Oryctolagus cuniculus: one gene and its partner. The protein of the gene in region 2 purifies or fractionates together with the protein of the main gene of each other region. This does not show direct contact. Links are inferred from orthologs where the notes say so. Each region holds a gene or a part of one and is shown on either strand. Other genes may lie near its edges.

What was found. The genes of interacting proteins can lie anywhere in the genome.
Region 1: the proteins of RHOC (region 2) and DAAM1 purify together in Homo sapiens (affinity purification with mass spectrometry; 3 studies listed by BioGRID and IntAct, counting the BioPlex papers as one, with this or other methods). This does not show direct contact. The link is inferred for Oryctolagus cuniculus from reciprocal best matches to the Homo sapiens genes RHOC and DAAM1.

The regions. Positions count from the first base shown.
Region 1 is NC_091433.1:99,046,926-99,050,361, reverse strand, and holds part of DAAM1 (disheveled-associated activator of morphogenesis 1), read right to left. Parts: intron 1,698-3,436; coding exon 1,527-1,697; intron 1-1,526. UniProt on the Homo sapiens protein: Binds to disheveled (Dvl) and Rho, and mediates Wnt-induced Dvl-Rho complex formation. May play a role as a scaffolding protein to recruit Rho-GDP and Rho-GEF, thereby enhancing Rho-GTP formation. Can direct nucleation and elongation of new actin filaments.
Region 2 is NC_091438.1:57,618,030-57,622,387, forward strand, and holds the start of RHOC (rho-related GTP-binding protein RhoC), read left to right. Parts: upstream 1-1,440; 5' UTR 1,441-1,767; intron 1,768-4,051; exon of another isoform or gene 4,052-4,190; intron 4,191-4,358. UniProt on the Homo sapiens protein: Regulates a signal transduction pathway linking plasma membrane receptors to the assembly of focal adhesions and actin stress fibers.

The sequences.
Region 1 (3,436 bases), on a different chromosome or scaffold from region 2:
TTTTGTCACTGCAGCTGGATTCTGGAAAGTTCTGTCACAGAAAGCTAAGCTCTTGAGAGCTGTTGCCTCTTAAAAGCACGGGGCCGTGGGGACCTGAAGTCCTACTACAGAACAAATGAAAGAAAGCTACCACGCATGGCTCTGGGCTTTGACTCTTACCATCGAGAAGGATATTCTTGGTACAAGAAGAAAAACTGAGGCGATCTGTGTTTCTACATGGAAAAAAAGTTGCCACTACTAAATAGACCTGGAATACTGATTTCTTCATGGTACGGAGATACTGGAGCACATGGCCGCCAGTACACTCTCCTTACCTCAAAACCTTAGTCTGCATCTACAGTGGATGCCTGAGACCTGCAGCACAGGAGTTTCTGTTCTTAAAACCCAAATAATGTGCACGTGTGAGGCAAAATGTAGGTGATCCAGATAAACAAAATGAGAGAAATGCACCTTTAATTCAGCCACCAAGAGCTCAATCACTGGGAACCTCTTGGGGGTTTCGCCCACCACTACATTTTCTATATTAACACCTATTTTACAAACAAAAAGATTTCATATGTGGGGTGCTGATCTGTGTCCCAGCCACTCCACTTCTGATTCAGCTCCCTGCCAATACACCTAGGAAAGCAGCACAAGATGGCTCGAGTACTTGGGCGCCTGACTCCTGGCGTTGGCCTGGCATAGCCTTGGCTGTCATGGCCATTAGAGGAGTGAACCAGCAGAAGGAAGATCTCTCTCTTCCTCTCTGTAACTCTGCCTTTCAAATAACTAAATAAATCTTTAGAAATAAAAACAATAGATTCTATCTGTGGAAGCTTTACTGAATCATTAAACAGTCTTTGAAGGACTGCATAAATATTCCATTATGTAGCTGTTCCATCATCCAGAACAAATCATGACTTTCAGATCATCTCCAACATGAGGGCAGAACGCTGCCCCCTTTTTCGTAAATTTTGATTATTTCTTCAGAATGATTTCCAAGAAATGGGAATTCCAGATCAAAAGACATGGATATATTTTTTAAGGCTTTTGGATATTTACTATCAAATCATCTAAAAGATACTTGACAGCAATATAAGTTCCCAGCAGCATTCTAGAAAGTACCGCAGTGACTTCCTTCTTGCCAGGCCATGAATGAGAGTGAGACAAAAACCCACGGCGAGCAGGCGTTTGGCACAGCAGTTAAATCACCACTTAGGGTGCCCGAGTCCTGAGCCACAGTGTCTGGGTTTGAGTCCCGGCTCTGGCCCCAGTTCCTGCTTTCTGTTAATGCACACCTTAGAAGGGTGTGGTGATGGCTCAACTAGTTGGGTCCCCGCCACCACAGAAGAGACCTAGATGAGTCTCCTTGCTTTAGCCTCAGCGCAGACCAGCTGTCCAGGGCCCTGAGGAGTGAACCAGTAATGGAGACTTCCTCTTTGTGTTACCTTGGTTTCTCTCTCTGCTTTACAAAAGACAAACAGCAAGAAAAACCCAAACTAGTGAAAAGCAAAAAGCGAAAAATCCCCAGCTCATGGAACTCTTACCTGAGCCTCCATGCAAGCCCGGCGCTCTTCCTCCTCCTTCCTCCTCCGCATGTTTTCGTTGTCCTGCTTGGCTTCCGACACGGCTTGAAGAAACTGATCGAAAATGCCGAAGAACTCATCTGGCTGTATTTTGCCAGCCTCTTCCCCAAAGTGCTTCACTGCTTTAGTAAACTGGAAAAAAGGTTTTGAGGAGTTGAGTATTCTAAGAATTTCATGGAGGATTTAAAGCTGAGTCAACCATGACTTGACAGATTTTCGTGAGCTCCTATTTATCTTTAGCGGCTGAACATGTCTGTTAATCATTTCTATATTAAAATGTCAGTACTCTTCAACTTTGTTTATTCCTGTAGCTCTTATTTCAGTTTAACATCTATGATTATCTCCTATGATTTTTATTAACTAAACAACAGTAAAAACAAGAAAGCAAAATATTTTAGGGCAGAACACCCAAGACACAAAACTAATCGCAGACTCAGCAGGAGTAGGGAATGTTGCACTTTTAACTTTTCTTTGAAGTCCTTTAATGTTATTTATTGTTGCCAAACAGTTAATAATGACCGCAAATGGGATCCAGTACTTCTTAGCTGCTTTTCTTAATGGTAAGTAACACTGGTATTGTTATGTTGTCTCCTGGGTCTCAACGAGAAAACTAACTGATTATGGAATCATTAATGCAACCCAAAATTTTTGGCTGAGAATACAATTTTTATTCTAAACTCTGTTGTAGAACCCATTCCAATCTTTCTAAAACAGTCAAATATAAAATACTAATGAAGAATTTTTAAAAAATTAAATAATGAATGTATATAATGTATGTGTGTATACATATAGAGTATATCCAGTTGTTTTCATAACTTGAGTATGCTTCCAATATTCTTAGTACTATGACCATGCAAATAATGTGATTGTCTGTTAAAATTATCTTTTCTTCTGTTTCTAATGCTGTTACTCCAAAGCTACTAAAGACAGTGCTCCTGGCTTCAAAGTCAAAGGAATTCTCTTTTCCTGTGCCTAATCAATTACATAACATTTCCCATATTTGTAATTTACCTTTAGACTATGACAAGCATATGTAGTCCTCTTCAAACCAACAGCTTCTAATTGATTTTCTTTTTCTTCTACTATTGACTTAACTATATTGTTAAACTTCTCTGATGGTCCAGTACCACTATGTATCTTAATGAGAATGTTTTCAATATTTATTCTTTAATAAAACAGTCTTAGACTAGTGTATAAGAGGGGTACTTCAAAAAGTTCAAAGAAAATGGAATTAAAAGTATTTTGGTGCAAAAACTCTTTTGAAATCCATGCATAGTTTTTTCACATTATGCATTTTCATGAACTGGTTGAAGAACCTTCAAATGCAAGGGTTTCAAAAATCTTTTGTAGCAAAGTAAACTGTCAGTTCCATTTTCCATGAACTTTCTGAACTACTGTCATACAGATATATTCATATATATGTTTAGATGGGACATAATCTTAATCATATAATAAGATGTTCTTTTCACCAGTTTTCTTTTTATGGAGTTGTTGTCAATGTTTTACTTATTTGGAAATATTCTGTTAGAAAACAGAGCTCTTAAGGGAAAAACAAAACCTTTTTCACACACCACATACACTGCTCAGGCTTGTCTCATGGTTTTTAAAGCTAATTTCTAAGAGTTCTGGCATGAACAAAATATTAACAAACAGTCTACAGCTGAGTTTCTCAAACATTCGAATTCATGCACTTCAAGTCATCCCTGGCTGATCTTTTTATCTAGGAATTCTAGTGACGATGAAGTCATGTATATTTTAGTCTTAGAAAGAGCTGAAGAAAATTAGGCCCAGATTAAAGTTCCCACACTGAAAAAAATAAAAGGAGGTTGTGGATTGCTATGAAATGCCTGAGTTCCTTGGTGACGTGGGTA
Region 2 (4,358 bases):
ATCTGTATTCCTCATTTAGGCTGTCAGTTGTATGAAGGCAGGAATCTATCTGTGACGTAGCTCTCAATTCACGTATAATAATAAGTGATTATTGAGCAGGAGGCCTGGGACCAAGCTCAGGACCTGTCCCCACGGTTCTAAAATGTCTGGATGGTGCTTCAGATTTTTAAAAAAGATGTATTTATTTATCTGAAAGGGAGAGAGAGAGGGAGATCTTCCATCTGTTGGTCCACTCCCCAAATGGCCACAATAGCCAGGGCAGGGCCAGGCTGAAGCTTCTTCCGGGTGGCAGGGACACAAGCACTTTGGCCATCCTCTGCTGCTTTCTCAGGCACGTTAGCAAGGAACTGGATGGGAAGTGGAGCAGCCTGCGCCTGCACTTCAGATCTTAAAAGTCTGTATGACCTTTTTTTTTTTTTAATATAAAGATTTTATTTTTTGCACTTGAAAGGCAAGGGAGAGAGAGAGAGACTTCCACATGCTGGTGCACTCCCCAAATGGCCACCACAGCTGGAGCTGGGCCAGGCTGAAGCCAGGAGCCAGGAGCTTCTTCCAGGTCTCCCACGTGGGTGGCAAGAGCCCAAGCCTTTGGGGGCCATCCTCTGCTGCTTTCCCAGGCCCATCAGCAGGGAGCTGGATCAGAAGAGGAGTCTCCAGGACTGGAACAGATGCCATGCTGGCGTGGCAGGCGGCCGGCTTTACTCACTACGCCACAACGCTGGCCTCAGTCTGTATAGCTTGTAACATTCATGCAGCATATGTTTGCTGAAGCCCTCTTGTGTGCCACACACTTCCAGACGTGGGGTGGGGGCAGGGTGAAGGACCATGGGCCAGGGCAGAGGCATTGGAGCACTGGAGCCAGAGAGGCCCGTCACTTACAAAGCATGCACCTGTGTGCAAGCCACTTATCTGCGCTGCAGTTTGGGTCTACGCACCCCAAAGGCCTGTGACGACGACTAAGAGTAGTGTACCCATTCATTGAAAGTGCTTAGACTTCCTCCTCCTATACCCACCCACCTGCCCCGCCGCCTACCGGGAGGGAAGGAGACACACGTGTAGGTAACTACTCCAGGCCCTAATTTAGACCACGCTGAGGGTCCCTAGGCACTAGGAGGTAATACGAATTCACAGCCGGGAATCCTGAAGCATCCGCAGGAGTGCCCTTTGAGGAGTAGGCAGGAATGGAGCCTACGGAAATGCCAGCTAGCGGGAACGAGAGGATTCTGAAGTGGAACGGAGGTCTGGTTCCGAAAGGCTTTCAAGGCGGGGGTAAGACGAACGGTTCTCGGGGCAAGACGATGGGTACTCGTGTACCCCGGGGCCGCCCTGGCGCGGCCGCGCCTCCCCGCGTGGAGGAGGTCTCAGGTGCTTCAGGAGCCGGTGCCCCGCTGGCCACGGGAGGGCAGCAGCGGCCCGGTCTGACCCCACCCCGAGCGCCTCGCAACTTTCCCGACGCCGGTACGCCCCCAGGGGCCGGCAGCGGGGAGCAGGCTGAGTCCTCGGGGGGTCTCGCCGCCCACTCCTCTGCAGTCCCAGCATGTGCCAGCGGCTCTCCCCGCTCCCCAGGCCCCAGCAACGGCGACCCACGGCGGCCGAGCGCTGGAGCCGGAGGCGGGCCGAGCCAAGGGCCGCCCCCGGGCCGACCCTCTCTCGCCGGCCCGCCCCTCTCCTCCCCTCCGCGGCGCCGAAGGAGGGCGGGGCAGGGGCCCTGGGGTCAGTCTCAGCCTCCGGCACCGGCCGCGCGAGCTGGAGGCGGCGGAGCGGAAGGTACCCTGGGCCGGGGCCGGGGCGGCGGGGCGTCTTGGGGACTCGCCCCGGGAGAGCACTCTCTCCCTTCTCCGCTCGCCCGGAGCTTGGGGCGCGGCCGGCGGGGGGCTCCGGCCGGAGCGTGGGCCTTGTTGCTTCCCCTCGGACGCGGCGTCCGGGCTGTGCGGGGTCTGGCCGGATCGGCCCGGGCTGCGGCGAGGGGCGCGCGGAATTGCCAGACAGGGGCTCTCGCCTCCTGGGGTCAGAGCCGGAGTCCCTGCCTTTCCCTTCGCGCCCCTTTCCTCGTGTGGACCTGCCCCGCCGGGCCAGGGCCGAGAGGGGCGACTTGGAAGCTCCGTGAGGCGCTCTGGCTCCGGGCCCGGGCAGCCGGCCGCGCACCTACGGACCTGGAGGCGGGCGAGGGGCGGGCAGGTCGGGAACTGACCCCGGTGGGGGTGCTGCCTCCCCTGGCCGGGATGGGGGAATGGCGGGAATAGGGGCAGGGTGTGACCAGTGGGGGACGCCGCCCTGGACGGTTGCTGTAGCCTGCCCGTGGAGGGAAGTGGGGGGAGATCGGGATGGCTCGGGTGCGCGTGTCTAAGAAATCTCTTCTCCCTCACACTCCCGAACCCGCATCTCGCCCGTGTTTCTGCTTTAAAAGTTGGGGGCGGGGTATCTCCCGAAGACTTACTACTTCCTAGACGTCGGGGGAGGTGGACTGGGTCCGCCGGGCCCCGCGATTGGGCTTGGAAATCAAGGGAATGGCTGAGGAGCGCGGCCCTGCGCCTCCCCCCGGATTCCAGGCTGCATTGCAGGCCTGGAGTGGTGGTGGTTGGGTTACCCCTGTTGGGGTCAGTGGGGCAGTTCTTCTGGGGCTGCCTCCCACAGGGAGCTGGCGCTGGGCCTTGTGGCCTGGCCTGGGCTGCTGGCTCTCCTGCCCCAACCAGAGCCTGGGTAGAGAGTCTTCTCATTGAGAGGTGGGCTCCACTTGGTGCATGCGTGTCCCTGCCCCAGAGTTGCGGCTTCTGTCCGCCGCACCGTGTAGCAGCGGATCGCTGGGATTCCCCGCGGTGGTTGCCTGCCAGGCCTGCCTGGGTGCTTCTCTTTCAGGATGTCAGGGAGAGCCCCTTCTGTGGTGGGGAGAGTGTGGCCGTGTACTCCTGTCCTCTTCCCCCACATCCCAGCTTTGTGAGTGTGTGTGTGTGTGTGTGTGTGTGTGTGTGTGTGTCTGGGTCTGGGAGGGAGGCGCCACCAGGGTCCCCCACCAGGCAGGCTGGGGCTGAGGTGCGAGGTGGGGATGGTATGTGGGCCACAGAGGAGCTTAGCTTAGTTTGACAGGATGTGGGACTGAGGGAAACAGCCTGGTTTAGGGCAGAGATCAGGTTACCCGCCCCTTCTTAACTGCTCCCTGCCCGGCTGGTGCTGGGCCCCGCCGGCCCTCATTTGTCTCTTGTCTTGGGGCTCCTCCCAGCCCAGGCTCCAATCCCCTCCCCCTCCCCCTTTCCCTACAGCCTTGACTTCGTCTCCGCTCCGGAGCCCGCCCTCTCTTCCTCCCAGGCAGTGGGCCTGGGAACTTGAGCTGGCTGGAAGTCGGCTTTCTGGCCAGGAAGGAGGAAGTGAGGGGAGCTGGGAAGGTGTGATGAGCTGTGCAGATGCGTGTTCATGTGTGTTGGGGCGAGGGACACACACAAACCCTGGGAAGCTGACTGCTGGCCCTGAGTCACAGGGAGGGGTGGGCAGGGCCTTCCTTGAGCTGCGCGGACGCAGACGGAGGGAGGAAGGGGCTGTCCGGAGAGTGGGTGGAGGTGACTCCCTGGTGGATTATTCTCACACACTTACTCTGCTGCAGTGGATGTGTGGCTCCCTACAGTGTGGTCATTGTCCCCTGCCAGGGCTGAGTGACCCAGTGTTGCTGCCAGGCCTGGGAGGAAGGGGGAGGAAGGCAGACTGCCCAGATGCGGGCTGTGGGCTGCCGGGACTGAGCCTCCTTTGTGCAGCAAGCGCAGGGCTTGGGGACTGGGTGTGGTGGGCCAGGGCCGCTGGCGCTGGCTGCTGCCACTGCCCCCCGGCTGGGTTTCCTTGCATCTGCTGTCCTTTCTGAAGCTCTGGAGTAATGTGTCCAAATGGCAGACCCGGGTCCCGGAGACTCTGTGTATGGGACTGAACTTTATGGAGGCTTCATTTCCCAGTTTGTCAGGTGGGAAGCCACCTGCAGGTGTCTGGGGGCCGTGGAGGCTAATTGTCAGAATACCCGCACAGGACCCAGCATCTCCGGGTGCTACAGATCTTGCCCTTCCCCTGGGGTGGGGTGGGGGCTACCACCTGGCAGCTGCTGCTGCTGTGGGGTCTTGGAGAAGACCTCTTGGTCCTGAGTGGGCAGGGCTGACCTGAGCTGAGGAACAGACTGTTCTAGATTGGAACTTGATGACGACTCAACTTCAAAGGTATCGTAACTGAGGAAGCCCGATTGAAAAACCCTGGCATATAAAGTAAACAGAAGTGGCTCTTCTTGGCGGGTCTCTGAGCACCTCCCTATGGGTCAGGGGTCCCCCAGGTGTTAAATGGGTAAGAGATTGAAACATGGGTTCTGCTTCCCACATGGGTTTCCCTCC